Arabidopsis thaliana: one gene and its partner. The protein of the gene in region 1 purifies or fractionates together with the protein of each later gene. This does not show direct contact. Each region holds a gene or a part of one and is shown on either strand. Other genes may lie near its edges.

The links. The genes of interacting proteins can lie anywhere in the genome.
Region 2: the proteins of AT5G44090 (region 1) and AT3G57890 fractionate together in Arabidopsis thaliana (co-fractionation; one large-scale study listed by BioGRID). This does not show direct contact.

Annotation. Positions count from the first base shown.
Region 1 is NC_003076.8:17,741,478-17,751,101, forward strand, and holds AT5G44090 (Calcium-binding EF-hand family protein), read right to left. Parts: upstream 7,049-9,624; 5' UTR 6,433-7,048; coding exon of another isoform or gene 6,283-6,432; 5' UTR 6,118-6,282; coding exon 5,863-6,117; intron 5,775-5,862; coding exon 5,535-5,774; intron 5,184-5,534; coding exon 5,078-5,183; intron 4,976-5,077; coding exon 4,876-4,975; intron 4,425-4,875; coding exon 4,319-4,424; intron 4,200-4,318; coding exon 4,109-4,199; intron 3,759-4,108; coding exon 3,617-3,758; intron 3,320-3,616; coding exon 3,172-3,319; intron 3,060-3,171; coding exon 2,950-3,059; intron 2,519-2,949; coding exon 2,362-2,518; intron 2,261-2,361; coding exon 2,135-2,260; intron 1,928-2,134; coding exon 1,787-1,927; 3' UTR 1,774-1,786; intron 1,635-1,773; 3' UTR 1,289-1,634; downstream 1-1,288. Other genes in the region: ckl7 (casein kinase I-like 7), read right to left, coding at 7,977-8,282, 8,368-8,501, 8,602-8,665, 8,758-8,843, 8,941-9,067, 9,165-9,249, 9,341-9,404, 9,490-9,551.
Region 2 is NC_003074.8:21,435,593-21,443,568, reverse strand, and holds AT3G57890 (Tubulin binding cofactor C domain-containing protein), read right to left. Parts: upstream 5,486-7,976; 5' UTR 5,299-5,485; coding exon 4,792-5,298; intron 4,281-4,791; coding exon 4,173-4,280; intron 4,085-4,172; coding exon 3,944-4,084; intron 3,799-3,943; coding exon 3,424-3,798; intron 3,339-3,423; coding exon 3,234-3,338; intron 3,105-3,233; coding exon 2,964-3,104; intron 2,626-2,963; coding exon 2,422-2,625; intron 2,311-2,421; coding exon 2,218-2,310; intron 2,124-2,217; coding exon 2,012-2,123; intron 1,918-2,011; coding exon 1,874-1,917; 3' UTR 1,681-1,873; downstream 1-1,680. Other genes in the region: AT3G57910 (D111/G-patch domain-containing protein), read right to left, coding at 1-506, 673-798; AT3G57900 (import inner membrane translocase subunit Tim17/Tim22/Tim23 family protein), read left to right, coding at 995-1,096, 1,184-1,288.

The sequences.
Region 1 (9,624 bases):
TGGACACGTACTTCTTTACTCTTTTATCTCAGTTTACTTGAACTTATCTCTAAGTTTTTTGCTATCAAATTCTATGGCTTTTGAAAAGGAATGACCCTGTTCTTTTTGTAATCGATACGTCAGCGATCGGCGACTGATTTTTTTTTAACTTACTTGCGTGTAATGTATGTAGAGACTAACAGGGGCGGACGCAAGTGTATGAGTACTGGGGCACGTGCCCCATGCAAGATTTGATAATTTTGAAGTTTGATGTGCAATTTGTATTGGAGATGAAAGAATTCGTTTGTTGTGCCCCATGTTATAGTGATTTTTTTTCTAATCAGTTGGTTATTACTCATTATTTTTACTATTTTCAAGTAATAAATGTTTTCAGTATTTAACTTATTTTTCCAAATTTATCTTTTTCTATAACTCTTTGAAAGAATTATGCTAATACAAGGACACTTCAATTTTTTCTTTTTCCATTTACATGTCTTTTAAAAAATGTTTATATTGTATTTTATTTTTAAAATTTATATGTTAGCTATGTTGTGCCCCAGGTTAATTATGGTTCTAGATCCGCCACTGGAGACTAACATCATCATTCTCATGAAAAGAGTCGCAACGACTATAAAAGTGATCGCCGTTTAGTCTAGTGATGCCGACGATACCAACATCTCATGTAAAAGTGGTCGCAACGACACCCTTACTATTTATTCTCCGTTTTCTTTAGAGAGGCTTCTCCGTAAAGAAAAATACAGAAGCTACACGATCTTGACAAACTCTCAAATGTTTGATTTTGCAAGGAAAGAAAAAAAGTAATAATGAGAAGAGAGAGAAAGAGAGTGAAAAGAAGAAGCGACGAAGAAGAAGAAAAAAAAAGGAACGTGGAAAGATGAAACTTTTTTTTTTTATTATAATTTCTTAATTTTCAGAGATAAATTGGTCAAAAGTTTAATGAAAAAGTTGGAAAAGTGCTTCATCCGTGACAAGTGCCTCAAAAAGAATAAAATTCTTTAAAAATGTCTAAACGTGTCAAATTCCCTTATTTTTAACCGCCATAGAAAGTGAGTTCATGCTTGTTAAAACAAAATGCACGACTTTTTAACACATCTTCCAAAATATCATATTGACAAACAAAGTTTTAATGATTCTTATACAAACAAATAACCAATGTCGGCTCAAACCAATCAAAAACTGATATATAGTATATAATTTGATTTGATATTCTATAGTTTATACGAGAATTGTAGTTGATATCATAGGCACAAATTTGCTAATGAGGAAAAAGCAAAAACAATGATCATGTAAAACAAGTTTCAAGGTTTGTAAATTTCTTCCCACAAAAAAAAGTGTCTTTGTACATAGTTCTTTCGATTTTAAATAAAACCGTTGTTGTTGGTTCCACAAAACACTATAAAGCGGCGTATATAATAATATACATAAGATTGAAAGAGGGTCCAACCTGAGAAACCTAAGCAAGACAAATATTTCATGAAACTAACACAAGCTTACGCATCGGATAAGTCTCTTGGTCGCCAATCTCTAGGTGGAACCGTGGAATGGACTGGCTTTCGTGGTTGTCTGTCTGAAAATTGTTTCCGAGGCTCTTACCACCCAAGAAGATCTGACTTCTCCCTCTTCTTCCCAAGAAACTAGTAAAAAAAGCAACGAAAACGGCTTTTAATACGTTTAATATACCAAAAGATACAAACTTGTAACATTGAGCACATCAATTTTGCTATTTCATACATGCATAAGGAACATGATGCTGACCAGTGTTGAACAAAGTACCTCTTACGAGTCACTAAAATGGAGATTCGAGTGGTTCATCCCAAACATCTGCACTCCCATTCGAGACTTCCTCCACATCTTCCTCCATTGACAACCTCACATACTCTCTCTGAGCAAATCGGTCCCATTCCGTCAATGTTGGATTCTCACGTTCCTGTCAAATGGAAAACAAAGTTGGTTTAGAAGTAGCAGAGACTGGAACAGATACAACCGGCTGCAGTAGTAGGTGACTATCTGAACTTATAATAATTTTTGCGAATTTTTATGGCATTAATAAATATTCAGTAGTAACAGTTTCAACAGCTAAACGAAGGATTGAATAACCAAAGGGAGGAAAACTCTATAGAAAACCTATGTTTACCTGACGAATGAGAAAAGGGTCACGGGTTTCAAACGCCATGAATTTGTTCAGGTTAAAGAGTATATTGAAAATATTTCCAGAAAGTTTGGATGCTTTCAGATCCTGGAGTGTGATGCAGTTCTCCTTCTGAAAGAGTCATTCGACAAATTGATGATGCGAATAAGAGCAAAGGAACAGACAAGCCAGGAATATCAAAAGACCATGTTATGGTTTAAAAGAAATTTTGCCTCTGGTTTAATCATGTCGAATATTTGACATAGGATATCTTCAAAGAGTACAGGTTCCTGGGTTATACATTCCATGCGATGCAGCTGCTCTTCGTAGAAAAACTGCATCTCGTTGGGAGTGATCACCCCATCTCCATCTAGGTCTATGCACTTGAACCTGCAAAGATGGTTTTAATCAATATCAAGGGAAAACGAAAAACAAAAAACTGCCAAGAACCTGTGTTTAACATCGATGGGAGATAGATGAGCATACCAGCGAGGTATGCCCTCATATCAGCGGTTCAACTGAAAATGTTCTAGATTCATGAGATGATGAATGAAAATGTTCTAGGTTCATGAGATGATGAATGAAAATGTCTTAGATTCAAGATGGGTATCCTATGTTCATGAAATAATAGTACTACTAAATGTTTAGTGCGTTCAAAATATCAGGTAGGCTTGTATCATCAAGAAGGCCACATATGCCACAAGTTTTGGCTCAGAAGTTATACATTTATAGTGACATACTGTGAGCTAAGCAGCTAAAGGACAAAATGGCTAAAGAGAAGTCACTAAAGACAAAAAGAGAAGAGGGGAAGAGACATGTACCAATACTCAAGACTAGGCTCAGATGACTTATCCTCCTCAGCGAGAATAAAGTATGCAAAATCTTCATAACTCATCTTCCCCTCAACTTTGCTTGTAAATTTCCTAGGAACCTGAGTGAGAGACAGCCGTAATTTCAATTAAGAAAGAAGGAAACACACTCCATAAGATAACAATTAAGTTTCGAGAAAAGTGTTCATTAACATTTTGACAACTGGAGCCAACCTGTGAAAATATTCTGTCGACAATCCTGTAGGTAAGGGCATGATTACCATATTTGATGAGATTTTCCTTATCAATAAGGAAATCATGGTCGCCATCGAGTTCCCAAAATCTGCAGTATATCACGTAGAAATGCTCATAGGAGAAGTACCTGAAAAGTAAAGAAAAGGTCATATTGAATGGTCAAATCATGCATGATGTCTTGCCACAGTATCACAATATGAACTACCAATACACTTCTTCCTCTTTATGAGTTTTATGGGTAGTGCTTATGTCTAAGAAACAATTCGAAGACCTATGCACTACCCATATTACTCACAATGCTACACACCTTGCTGAGCTTGAATTCTTAAACAACTTAAAGTGGTCTTTATTATACAAATAAAACTAAAATCTTAATCTTTTTAACGTATTGTTTAAGAAATAATGAAAAGGAAAACAAAGTCACCTAATAACTTTATTGATGTCGTCTTCTTCATCAACTTGTTGCATGGCAGTAATAAGATTCCCACGCTTCAGCTCTCTAAGAGTAATGCAACCAGTACCTGATCTGTTTATGTAGTAAAATATTCTGTAGATGACGGTCTCAGCTGGGTTGACGGAATAGAACACAGAGATGAATGAAACAAGCACGGGAAAAATTATGAATTAGTCAATAGATGTATAAAACAGTAAGCACCTGAAAATATACTATATTTAAGAAGCATCTCATAATTTTCAAAATGTAATTATAATGAACAAGTACATAGAATTAAAATTAGAAGAATTATTGCCTAGGCCAATCAAGCCAGCTAAAGATGTCACTTTCAAGTTCGTCAATGCGTTTTGAAAGATCATATATATATGGAAAGAAATTGTACGAACGTCTTAGTAGAAAACAGACATTCTGGTAGAACTATTTCACACCATAACATCAATGTATCAAAAACCAAGTTCTTACCATATCTTTCTTGAAACTCAGGTGTATTCCTCAGGAATTCCAAGCCGGGATGAGTTGTCAGAAGCTCATCAAGAACTGGTTTGAAGTCAGCCTATCCCAAATCCAAAAGAAGACATTAGCCTTCAGGACTAAAGAAATCAAGTGAGACAATAATCATTGGTAAACAAATCAAAACAGCAGTGAAGAGCTGGGAAAAGAAAACAAAGAGACCTGTCTAAGGTACTTGCAACCTGGCTGCCTTAAAATATTATATATCTGTGAGGCTACGTCCATTGCCAACATATGTCCATCAACCCAATACTTGATAAATGCATCCCTGCAGGAACCAAATATGGTGTATTTAAAAGATACTAGCTAAACAGAAAGATTACAGCTGCTGTATATTTCTATGATATTACTCATGATTTGGCTAATTTAAAGATGTATCAATTCCAAACAATATCTACAGGGTAGAAACTTCAATATTACTTATCACAAATGTTCTAAACAATATATAAAATCGAGCACACTAAATTTATTGAAAGTAAAAAGAAATTATATTCGAGTGGCATAAATAAATAAAAAGATAACAATCAGGTATTAAAATTACTATGCCACATTCCATTTCTTTTAAGGGTGAGCAATTTATGAAACAAATAGCTGAGCGTGCATCTGGAAATCCAGACCAATGTGATCTATTATTATATTACATGAAACACATATGAATACCAGTGGATATATACATTTAACTACAATTACATATGAAAAGAAAGAACACAATGATTTACCTTGTAACGATACCGGTGCCACTCGTGTCTATCTTTCTAAATAGTACAGAGGAAAGAAAAGAAGGCAGCTTGCAGACTTCTTTAGTAATGGATTTGAATTCTGCAATTGAACAATAGCAAGAATGTGTTTGTAAGATCAACTGTTTGTCTATTCATTACAGAACGGGACTGTGATGTAAAAAAGCTTGTATTTAAACATCACCATCCATATGAAGTCCGTCTATATAGTTACTAAAAAATTGATCAACCATGGATATACATTGCTCCCTTAGTTCCTTCGCAGGTGGACGTCCATGTTGGAAGTAAAACTGCATAGCATATCAAGGCATAGAAGCGTCAAACAAGAATGTTGAACAATATTAGCTAAACCCTTCAACTATGTAAGATGTCAAACGGATGACCATAATAAACTTACTTGTTGTCATCGTTTTGTTAAAAAAAAAATTGTACCTATGCTACTTGAACGAAGAATTTAGTTTCTATTGTATTTGTTCTCGTGGTTCTCCATCTACTTAGAAAACTATTACAGTCTAGTTTCAACAATTACGTGAGCATATATAAAACAATCAAATCATGATGTCAACTGTCAAGCAAGGTAGTGCCTTCTCATGTTGTTTGTAAGACATCCATATGAGGAGCAGTTGGATAAAAAATCGAACCTGTGGAATGAGTTGGCGCTTTGGTTCCCTGACTGATTTCAGAGGAGACTGTAGAGAAGGGCTTGTCTTTTGCCTCGAGAAACGGGGAGACCCAGGTGAGCCTCGTGGGGATAGTGGGGGAGTGCCGCTGTTCAGAAAAACAGATGGCAATGCACTCCCGCAAGCAACATTGAGACTAGTACAATTTTTGGATACACTGACTGGGGTACTAGATTTAGTATCATCAATTAAAGACTTGACCTGCACAAACATCACACAGATGAACTGTTAAAAGAGGACCACGTAAAACCTTAAACGAAAAACAACCACCAAAAGTTTCTTCACCAACATGAGTCGGCAATCGGCATACAACACTGGACCATATTCTCAGGAGCTTTAAGTTAAATCTGGTACTACACAAATACAAACACTTCTCAAGTTTAGCAGAGCCTTGTAATATCCCAGTACTATTATCACCTAAGTCATTATAACCCCTAAATGTGCTATTCAAGCACTCTTTATCTAACACTAAGTAAAATCTATAAGAAATAAACAAAACTACTAAATATGCAACAGCCGAGGATTCAGTAAGAGCAATAAGCATGTTGAATCTTGCTCTGCAGAAATTGACTTGAAATCAGATAAAGTCACAACAAGGACTTACGAACAGGTATCAGCATATACATAAAACAGGCGCCAACTATTAAATGAACAAGAAACCAAACGACGCTAAGGAGCCACTGAGCCAGAGGCTTGGGAATAAAATTACCAATCGGCCAGTTTCAGGAAGTGAAAGCCACTGGGAGAAGAGTTCTTCAGCAATATGAGGATTTTCTTTAAGTGATACAGGAGACAAACCGGGAAGCTGCAAGAGCTCAGGATCCAAAATCTGAACATCGTTTCCACCATCGATTTCCATGATTATCTTCTATCTTATTCACTGAGAATCAGAACTACAACAAAACCCCAATATCGGAATTCCTTGAGTCAATTCTAAAATTGGATCGAAACCCTAATTTCTTCCAATAACTTGAAGCAGTAACTCCAAAACAGGATTCTCAGACTTTTCAAAGATCTATAAGCACGAAATCCAAAGAAAATTCAATAAAAGCAGCTCTGACCAATCGAGAAACTCTCTAACTAGTTGAGAAACACCAGCTCGAAGAAGAGAAACTAAACGAAAACCAAAATAAACGATTCGATAAACCCTAGATTCCCAAATTCTATCAACAAGCAAAACAGAGTCCTATACAAAACTTCTTCTGCAATTCAAGCACAAACGTGGAAGAAATTGGAAGATCCAAAGAACACTGATCTCTCTCTCCGATCAATAACAAGCTCGACGACGAGAGGAAGTCGTAGAGAATTTTTCCAGGGAGATTGTGTTATTGATGAGAAAATGAATTAAAAAGGAAAAAGTATTTAATTTTGATTTTAATACTCTCTCTCAGTCTCAGACGCAGTAGTACTAGCGGTGGTGGTGGTATTTTTGTTTTCCACTTTTAGTCCTCAACGTTGACCAAAAAGTCAACCAAATCCAGCGTTCTTTATCCGTTTTTGCGATCATGTTTATTTGAGTCTCGAGTCAATTAATAAATCGCAGAAATTAGCGATCAAATTGTTTGTTTGGTTGTTAAACTTCATGACGTTTCGACTGTTATCATCAAGATTGCAACTGATTCATTAAAGTCATAAAAATGTGACTTCACATGTGTAAACCTAGTTTTGAAGAATGATGATGAATATTTGTCATTTCTCAAAAATTGTATTGGAGCACTTGCTTTTTTAGTCGAAATGCAAAAGTATGTAGGAGTAGATCATATGAATCTAAAAATGAATGTATTTTATATGTGTAACTTCAATATGAAATTCAGTTTTGCCACTTTATTCGAAGATGAGCGCTAACAAAATGTGAAGAGTTTAACTATAACCATTCAAGTATACGATCAGTGAATAAGTAAACATTTGAAGTATGGAAAAAATAAAAATAAAGAGTTTTAGATTGGAGTCATCTAAAGTATGATTTGACTAAGTAGATGAGCTAATTTTACTATTAAGCCAAAATTTCACCGTTTTTACATGATTTGACCAGAGTATGCCTGCCCCAAAAAAACAGAAGCATTAAAAGAGACCAAAGAGCAGTTGATTGTTTTGTTTATTACAGTACCAGTACAGATAGGTTCGAAGTAATCGAATATACGGATAGAAATTTTACCGTTTTTACATGGAAACTCTCTCTACATTTTTGATTGTTATGTTTGTCTAACACATATCACGATTACATAAACAAAACGAGTGAAAAAGATCTCTGCAAGCTGAAGCTGAAATTACATGTAAAAAGATCTGAGGATTTCATCAGGTTCAAATATATGAATTCCCTCAAACCAAGATTCTCATCTTTCTTCAGAGGTAATTTCTTTGGGTTTTCATGGAGTTTGCTGTCTCTCTCTCCATCATTTTCCTTTATTTCCGAAGAGAGAGAAGCTCGAAGCTTCTTAATTGATCTTCCCGAGTGTTTCTTGCCGCTGTTGCACGAGAGAAAGACAGAGTCTTGGATTCATATCCAGCTTGCACTCTCTGGCTAGTTGAGGGACGGCCATTTCCACTGCCGCTGCCACCACCACCGCTTGAGGAAACCAGACGACTTGAAGTTCGGCTTTCGCTTGGTCCACCTGCAGAACTTGGCCGGGAGCTTGAAGCAGCAACGGCTTTCCTAGAAGAAGATGCTCTATATCTTGAGGAACTGTTTGCTCTTTCGGAGTCTCCATGCTGCACAAATAAAACAAACACAGTTAGGTCTTTGTCTTATTTAGCGGTTCTGATCAACAATGTATGTAAAGAGTAAGATTTTTACTGTCTGCTTAGAGAAAGGTCCGTCGTCTGAGTTTCTTGATCTAGAACGATCTCGAGGCGAAGAAGTTGTAGTCGGGTGTCTTCTGGAGAATGCCTCCACTGCACCTGGGATTTTATATCGGGTTGTTTCCTTTCCTACACGAATGGTAAATAAAAAAAGAGTAGAAATTAGAGTGAGGAATGGATGTGTATGGTTTTGAGATTTTTAATAGAAGTAGGAAAAGCAGAATTTTACCTAGGATCCTCTCTTGTCTTTCAATAGGATCTGCGTTGAATCCGGGTTTCGCTGTTGTATGATGCTGGAAAATCCAAAGATTTACATTTACGTAAGTACAGAGAAACTCAAAAACCATGAGGGTAAAAACACAAGTATAAGATTTTTAATAATCACCCTTGTTCGTGAACTAGAACCAGAGCTGGATCCGATTTGAGGATACTTTAAGACTGTCCAGTCAAATACATAATCGAATTGATAACCTGTAAGAGTTTCAACAATATGAAAAAGATAAGATGAGAGTGGCTTGAAACAGTAAGCGAATAAAATTTCTCGGAATAATGATGTTAAGATAAGAACCTTCTCGGATAAACAAGTCACGGAAAAGCCTCTTGAGGTAAGAGTAATCAGGTTTGTCATCAAACCGTAAAGATCGGCAGTAATGAAAGTATGAAACGAACTCGGACGGTTGGTTTTTACACAATACCTACATCGAAACATTCCAAGCTCAGTTAGAAAAGCTAGATTACCTACCAATGCCAAAATGAAAATCCTTTCGGTTTGTCAAGTTGTTGTAACCTAACCTCTATAGGAGTTGACACTTTTTTCTCGCTGATTCTGTCATACTTCTGCTTCTTTGTCCCAGCTTTTAATCCCTGCCAAGGTAAGCTGATAGCCCAAAAAAACATATGGTTTAAACTCTGTTCAAGAAAATATACAGAATTTTACAGACTCAGGTAGAGAAGCTGTAGACGCTAACCTTCCTTTGAGAAAATACATAAGAACATAACCAAGTGATTCCAAATCATCCCTTCGACTTTGTTCTGTTTAAACATCAGCGAAAACTAATTAAGTATTTGACGGAAAATTTTTATGAATACATATAATTCCACAGATCAACACTCTTACCGACTCCAAGGTGAGTGTTAACACTTGCATACCGAGCTGTCCCAGTAAGATTTTTGTTTTCTCTGCCAAAATATTAGAAATTTCCATTGAGATCACGTAAATCAAGATGCAAAAATGCAGATCCTTGAGTAAGGA
Region 2 (7,976 bases), on another chromosome or scaffold:
GGCTTACCATCTTCATCTTCCTCATTTTTCTTCTCCGGAACAACTTCTACATTCTCAAGTTGATCAAGAGCAGCCTTAGCCTTCCTAAAGTTAATCAAAACTCTTTTCTTACGCCATTGAGACTTCTGTCTAGACCCAAAATCCTCCAACATCTCATCCACTTTTCTCTTCTCATTCTCAGCCTCAATCTCCTCCTTTTTCTTCTTCTCCTTATGTGGATCCTCTCTTCCCACACCGGCTCTCGATCTTCGAATATCCATAGTCACTGGCTCAGCTCTACCAGAGCCTTGTTTACCAAGAGCAGAACCTGGCTTGTAACCCATTTGCTTCAATAGCTTAAACCCTATGTTAGACTCTCCTATTGGAGTGTCTACTATACGAGCCAATGTCTGCTCATCTTCTTCTATCTGTTTCCTCTCTTTCTCCAATCTTCGTCTCTCGTGCCAATTGAGATTTTTTAACTTCTTCCGTGATGGTTCTACGATTACAGTTTTCTTCTCAGATTCCTGCAAAAGCATTTATATACGAATTTAAATATAATCCCAAAATCTCATTCAGCTATCAAACTAAACGAAATTTGTTGGAGATTATTCAAAATCAGTTGGACAAATTTGGATTCAGGAGCTTGACAATTGTGGACATAAGAAGATGAAAATTTTGGCCTGAAGATACCTTTCTTTTGGAGGTCTGGCTAAGTTCCTGAGGAATAAACTGAGAAAGGTCTCCCATGTACTCATCATCTTCTTCTTTCGCTGCTTCTCCTCCAAGCCCAGTCAGATTTCTCGTCGATTCTGCCATTGCCGACGGAGCTTGCGTTCGCGCTGAGAGGAAGGGAGAACAACAAAAAAAAAAAGAGAATCATTAATGGGCTTTAATTAGGCCCAATAATAATAGTATTTGGCTGTGTTCTCCACTATGTCGTTGCTGCCAATTTTCTTTGTTAGATCACGTTTGACATAAAAAGGACTAAGCTTTATCGGTTGAAGAAATTATCATGGATCCTACAGAAATGAGATACTTGGAAGAGGAAAATGGAGCGATGATGAAGACATTCAAAGATGCTGTGACTGGTTTTGCAACTGGAAAGACGTCCCTCGTATTGAAAGAAACGTTGCTCTTCCAGGACTCATCAGAACGTTGAAGATGATGGGAAGCCACGGGCTGACTTTTGCTGCCATTGGAGGTGTTCATTGGTGTTGAACAGTTGGTGCAGAACTTTAGAGCTAAGAGAGATTTCTTCAATGGAGCACACATTACAATGACTAAAGTAGCAAGAACTCATTATTAGCTGGATCCTGCGCTCATGGATATCTCTGTTCCATCCCATGTCCTTCTGTTTTTGTATCTTGAGATGTTCATGTTATGTTGCATTGTTTGGATGTTTCTACGAATATGAGATTCTGCAAATATGAGAAATTTTGGAGCTCTAAAACTTCTTCAGAAATTTGCACCTACCATGGTAGTAGCCTAACTCTTGCGTCCACTTAAATCTATTTGACCAAGACAAGACTATCTATCAAAACAGTTTTGCTTACAAGTTATAACTTATAACAATTCAAGTCATCATGCTCTATTTGAAGATGAGATTTTCAATAGAGAAGGGAACAAAAACGATGGATTGAAATGTCAAGGAAAGAAAAGCAGAAATCAAGAAAACAATAATCTAAACGAAAGCTTTAAGAGAGTATTTCTGTGCAGATAAGTTACGTTGTGAAGTATTGGTTCCAAACTACAAATCACTGAATCAGGCTGATTTCTCTTTTTTCTTTTTTCTTTTGGTCTTGGGGTGGGGTTTCTTCACTAGCAATATGCCAAATATGATCGAAGGAGCTCTACATGAACAAGACACTTTCCGCTTGGTCTATTATTCTTATTAGTCACCTTGTAGGCAGTAGAGTTGCCTTATATTTCCAGATGCTGTCGCAACAAAAACATAGACTAAGTCAAAACCTAATGAATGATGCATATCAATAAAGTAAAGTAGGGATCGATTCAGAGAAAGTTTTCTTACCGTAAAGCCAGTCTTTGAAATAAACATGGAGTGCACTTGATAGCTCTCGTTTCCGGTTTTCTTCTAGAGGCGCCTCTTTTAACGATCGTCTTGTTTCTTCAAAGTTCTTAAGCTGATGACAAAAAAAATTGCAGATACAAGATCAGATATGGACAAAAATAACAAATGCATTTGTTTATCTGGTTAAGTATAACTTTAAAACATACGTTTCTCTGCTGAGCTGCCATATAAGCATCTGGCAATGGAAATGGATTGTCTTTCGTCGAACCAAGCTCCGCGCCGCTAAACCAGTTTGGGATCTGTGCCATTGTCATTGATACCACCGAAAAACACGTCATTAGATGCTTCATGACACTGAAAAGCATTCACCAATTATTGACGTAAATGTTAGACCCAAATAGAAAATGTACCAAAAAGTTTACGAACTGGTCAGGGTCTACAGAAGCAGCTGATTCAGCCTGTGCATCAGCAACACCGGCAGGATGTGACAGGGAGTCATGTGGATCCACAGCTCCCAGGGCCAATGGTTTGTCCCATTTGTTGATCGTTGGCTCAAGCCCTACCTCCCTCATGTGCTCTTCCAAATGAGAGTAAAATGTATTATATGGAGCGACCTGAAACAAAGTCAAATTGATGCCAGCACTTTAAAAATAGAAGCCCATAATCACTAGAAGCAATATCTGACAATGCCCGCACTCTTAAAAACCAGTAAAACCTTCTTGAGGAAAACATTTGACTAAACGTATCTAGCAGCAGTCTAGCCACCCCTCCAAGTTTGTTTCCACTAGACTTGATGACGTGTCCGAAACGGCTTATTAACCAAACTAACCAAACTAAATCTAGTAAAAAGTCTAGCCACTCAATTTTTTTTACCTTAATATCAGAAAGGTAAATAAGAGCAACATGACATAAAACTTGTAAATTAAACCACAATCTTAAAGAGAAGCTTCACCTGCAGTTTGTGGTTATCACCAACAATAAGTGGCCGCTGATTGACTCCCAAGAAGAATACACATTCACGACAATTGGCAATGCACACTCGTTTGGCAGCTACAATCACATGAACTCTTTCACAGTGCTCAACTTTTATTGCCTGCAGAAATAAATACGGAATTATGTTTGATACATCTTTTAATAAAAGTTGGCAGATATTATAACTTGTTAAATGTTGCTTTGACTATCTTCAGAAAAGATAAAGAAGGAAGAAGCATTGTTTCCATACCTTGCCAACAGCTCCCAAAACTATAGTAGTATCAGAACATCCGTGCACAGTTGCATATCGCAATGGTGCTAAAAGATAAATTACAGAATCATGGCAATTGACAACCTGAAAAATACACAAAACAAGGAGTTGACATGCTTGCACAGAGATTCCATGACTGGAAGAAAAACGGAACAAGGAACAGTCAGACCTTCACAGATCTACCCCTTAGATCGGAGGCTTGCTTAACAAGTGAAGTCTTGGAGACTCCCTCGATTAAACACGGGCCTCTAGTACTAGGTGCAACCTTGTTCGGAGCAGCACAAACATCTGACATCGCATCATCTTGATCGTTAGAAGGTCCGTTCTCTTTTCCAGAAATTCTCTCAGTAATGCTTTCTAAAGCGGAAGCTATGTTTTGCAGAAGCCAGTCATGCACTTGGGAAGCGGGGACTGGAACAGCGGGCATATCCGGATCAGAATTTGCAAAAAAAGGAGTAGCTTGGCTCAATGGAGATACATCAGATCCCTTATCACCAAACTGAACAAGAAAACGCAGATGCTCGAACGCCTCCATAGAGAAAACCTGAACGATATTGGACAAGAAAAAAAAAATTAACTTGTGTTCTCTTTCATTTCCTAAAAAATTCTTATTCCAACATCAGAATTTTATATTCTTGTAGCTTAGAACAGTGACACCCCCTGAGAATATAAGAAAGATTAGAACTTACCAATGATTCATCTCCTTCTCCCTCCACAGGCTCTGCAAGGAGAGAAATGATGTTTGCTAAATGTTTTTGCAGATATGACAACTGATGAGCTTCATCATCTGCCTGTGATGGCATAAATCGACGGCTGTTGCTGCGAACAAGCTGCAGAAATGATGAAAAGGAGATATAAATAACAATTTTAGCTCCAATAAAGTTGGTTCGACCCATGTGATGAGAAACGATAGAATACCAAAGAACAGTGACTGTAGAAAACACTGAAAAGCTTAAGATTATATGACTGTTTTCTAAAAGACTCAATAGAACATCCATACCACACAGGAAACAGAATATTACAGGACTGGAGACCCGAGTCAAAATTCAAGAACACACCAAGCATTATCACCAAATAAACCACGTGAAAGGACCAAACAAAATAAGGTACAACGGAAAAAGAATCAGATTCCGAACCACAAAACAAAGCAAGCTGGCGACTGTTTGACTTTAGTTAGTAAACTAACCAATTACCATTGCCCCAGAGTCATCAGAGAAAGGGGACTGGCAATTAAATACAAGTAAGCATCTTCCTCATTGAGAATTGTTACGAAACTATAGCCACCATCAATTCAATTAATCACCCAAATTTCCGACATTGCTTAACTCTAAGTTTCAGGTAAATCAAATGACTCAGAAAACTTAAACTTGCATTGCAAATTTTAGTTAAATACAATGCGAAATGGAAATAAGTTATTCTCTACCACGTTCCAATTCCATACTCGAGTACAACAGTTCCATTTCAATACCAAACAAATCGCAGGCGCTGGGATTGAGGCACATTATAATAAGAGGGCCAAAAAAAGTAAGAAACTTGCCTGAATTGGCGATAACGCAGACAAGTATCCATCAAAAGCTGAAGTCGATGGCCAAACATCAGCCACCGCTGCGGAGTCCTTATGCGTCCTAGGAAGCAACTTCTTATACGATTGAATGTACAGGAACAAAATAAGATCCCGCAAATCAGCTCCGACGGAATCAACTTCCTCAGGTTTCGCCCGAACCAGAGGGTCAGACTCGGAATGAAGCACCGAACCGAGAGTCTCGAGAACGAGACGCGCATGGTCGCCGGAGATCTGGAGAACGTCGGCGATTGCAGCCGATCCAACGCGGTTATTCGAAGCCGCATCGGCTAGCTTCTGCTTGACAGGGGCTAAGGTTTGGATCGGGTCGGTGAAAACGAGTTTCTGGATCGGGAGGAGTCCGTGCTCGAAAGACACACGCCTTGGATGGATTACTGAATTCGGATTCGTGCTCGAGTTTGGTTCAGGGTCGGGTGCTGAAGGTGGTGGTGATTGGTCGATGAGGTCTTGTTCTTCAGTCATGATTGATTCGTCGCGCGAGGTAGAGAGACAGAAGAGATAGAGAGAGACTGGTCCGGTGGTGAAGTTGCAGATCTTTCTTTGGGTGACGAATCATTTCATTGAAGGAGAAGAGCAGAGAGAGAGATGGTTACAGTGCGTGCACGTGTATGTTAGTAACGTACGCTTCGTTTCTTTGGTCGTTGGATTTACGAGTAGATTAACCTTTGATCTGAGCTATGACACGTCAGATGAACGGAGATAACATGTTAACTAAAGAGGCCCATTTGAGAATTGAATGCAAATCGCATTTAAGTTTTAGTTAGGCCATTGTTGCAATAAGTTAGGTCCTAAGCGTTCGTCAAAAGGAGAAAAGGTGATCATCACAACTCATAATTAGGTTTTACAATAGGGAAATATACTTGGTTACCTAAGTACTTGTAAGTTGTCACTGTTAATTAAAATTGTTAGAAGATTAGTGGGAAAAAGAGAGATAAAATTGGGAAGTTTAGGCCAAAAGAACTCATAACTCGCTTTCATTGCAATTTAAATATTGTCCGCTTGTTTAAGGAAAATGGTTTGCAATGGGTAAACATCGTTTAAATGAGACGGTTATGTTTTTTAGCAGTTACAGAAAAAGGCGGGTAGAAAAAAACGGTTAGAAAAGATGAACAACCTAAAATTAAACCAATTGGTAATATCGTTTAAATAAGGCGGTTATTTTATTTAACACTTACAAAAAAGACTGATAAAAAAAAACGGTTAGAAAATATATTAAAAGAAAAAATGATAAATAATTTAAAATGAACCGTTAAATAATAGTTATGATTAGTAACAAACGGTTAAACAGTAAAAAAAAAAAACTAAATTAAAATATTTAATAAATAACTAAAAATATTTAAAAAACAAAGAAAAACAAAACTCTTTAGTAAATAATTCAAATACATTACAGTTTTAAAAATCTAAGAAACGTTAAATAACTAAAATATTCCAATGGTGAACAAGAGAGGTTGCAAACTCACCTATTTTGTTTAAGCTTTTAACCGTTTGTTTCAATCACCTATTCTTACCACTCGTTTCATCCGTCTATTGCAAGCAATTATTTGATTGGTAATCAAACTAACGGTTGAATTTATCGCCGTTAAATAAATGTTATCAAGCTACTATTGGAATTCGGAAAGGGAACACTATCAACTTTTGGATTCTTAGGTTATCTCATTCATTCAGCTAGCTCAATATTCTGATTTGATTTGATTTGATCCGTTTCGATTCGGTATTTGATTTAATTTGATTCGAAAAATCCGAATATTCGTAAGATTTTGGAGCAAAGCAAATAGAAAAATATAGTATTCGTAAAAATCGAATCAAATAATAAATATTGTTTTTTAAAAAATCGAATATCCGCTTCGATCCGTATCTTTTTATATATATTAGAAAATATAGTATATCTATATATAGATATCATAAATAGTTTGTGTATTGTTGTCATTTTATGTTTTTATGTTAAGATGTTTGTTTGATCATTTTTTTTTATGTTATGTTTTGATCAATGGCATCAAAAAACTATCGGGTTTTAGTTTTGGAATTAGTTTGATAATATTTTGTTGACCGGTGATACCAACAACGGTTATGTTTGGTATTTAGAACTTATTTTAAAAGCACACGGAGACACCAATTAAGGAACGCACGGATAAATTTTTTGAATATATGATATAGTTATATAGTATACATATTTTTTTAATATTTAAATGTATCAAAGCGGATATCCGCAAATATCACAAAAAATTCCGGATATTCGAAATTCCGGATATCTGGAAATTTTCGAAGTAAAGCGAATCACAAAATCAAGTATTCGTTTAAAACGAATCGAATAACAAATATCATAATTTTTCCGGATATCCGCTTCGTGCCCATACCTAATTCTGAGTATAAAATTTAATATTTTTTCTTTATGTAAATACACAAAAAGTGACCATGAACCGTACAGTTTAAAATAGTCATTTTTCGACGAAACAATTACCGTGACGTTGTCTTTAAACCTCTGGAGAAAAGATTTACATATTTTTGATAACTGGTTAAACTTGTTTAACGCATTAATCATCTCTTAAGAAAAAGAGTTGTATATATCTCTCTTGTAGATGTGATAAGATATGGATTACAAACTGTCATCTTAGCAAATTTGTCTTCTTCTTTTTTTTTTATCATTTGTCTTCTTATTACACTTATCAAATTATAGTATTAGTTATGACCGTAGTGGGTGACTCGATCGTGGTAAACGTACGGTGGACTGAAATCCTTCAAGTCGAAGCTATACAAATGCGAGCAAAGCATGATCAACACGTGTCATTTGCAACGACTACCAATATCTTCTTTAATTTCTATCTTACTCTAATTATAAAATTAGATTATTGTCCGTGTAAAGTAGCTAATACTTTTGATTAAATTATGTCAAAATACTTGGAGCAGAAGCATTCTCTTAACTACTCGGTGGCACATCATAAAGCTAGAACGAAAAGTAAAAGACGGCCCTCTCAGCAATTAAAGGTGCCACGACCACGAGACCGTTTCGATACTAAATGATTATATACAAATACTGAAATATAGTTAGTACTTGTTATTTAGTTTAAGAACTGAATATACAAATCAACAGATCAAACATATGCAATTTAACTACTAATATAGTATATATGTCCAACTGCCCA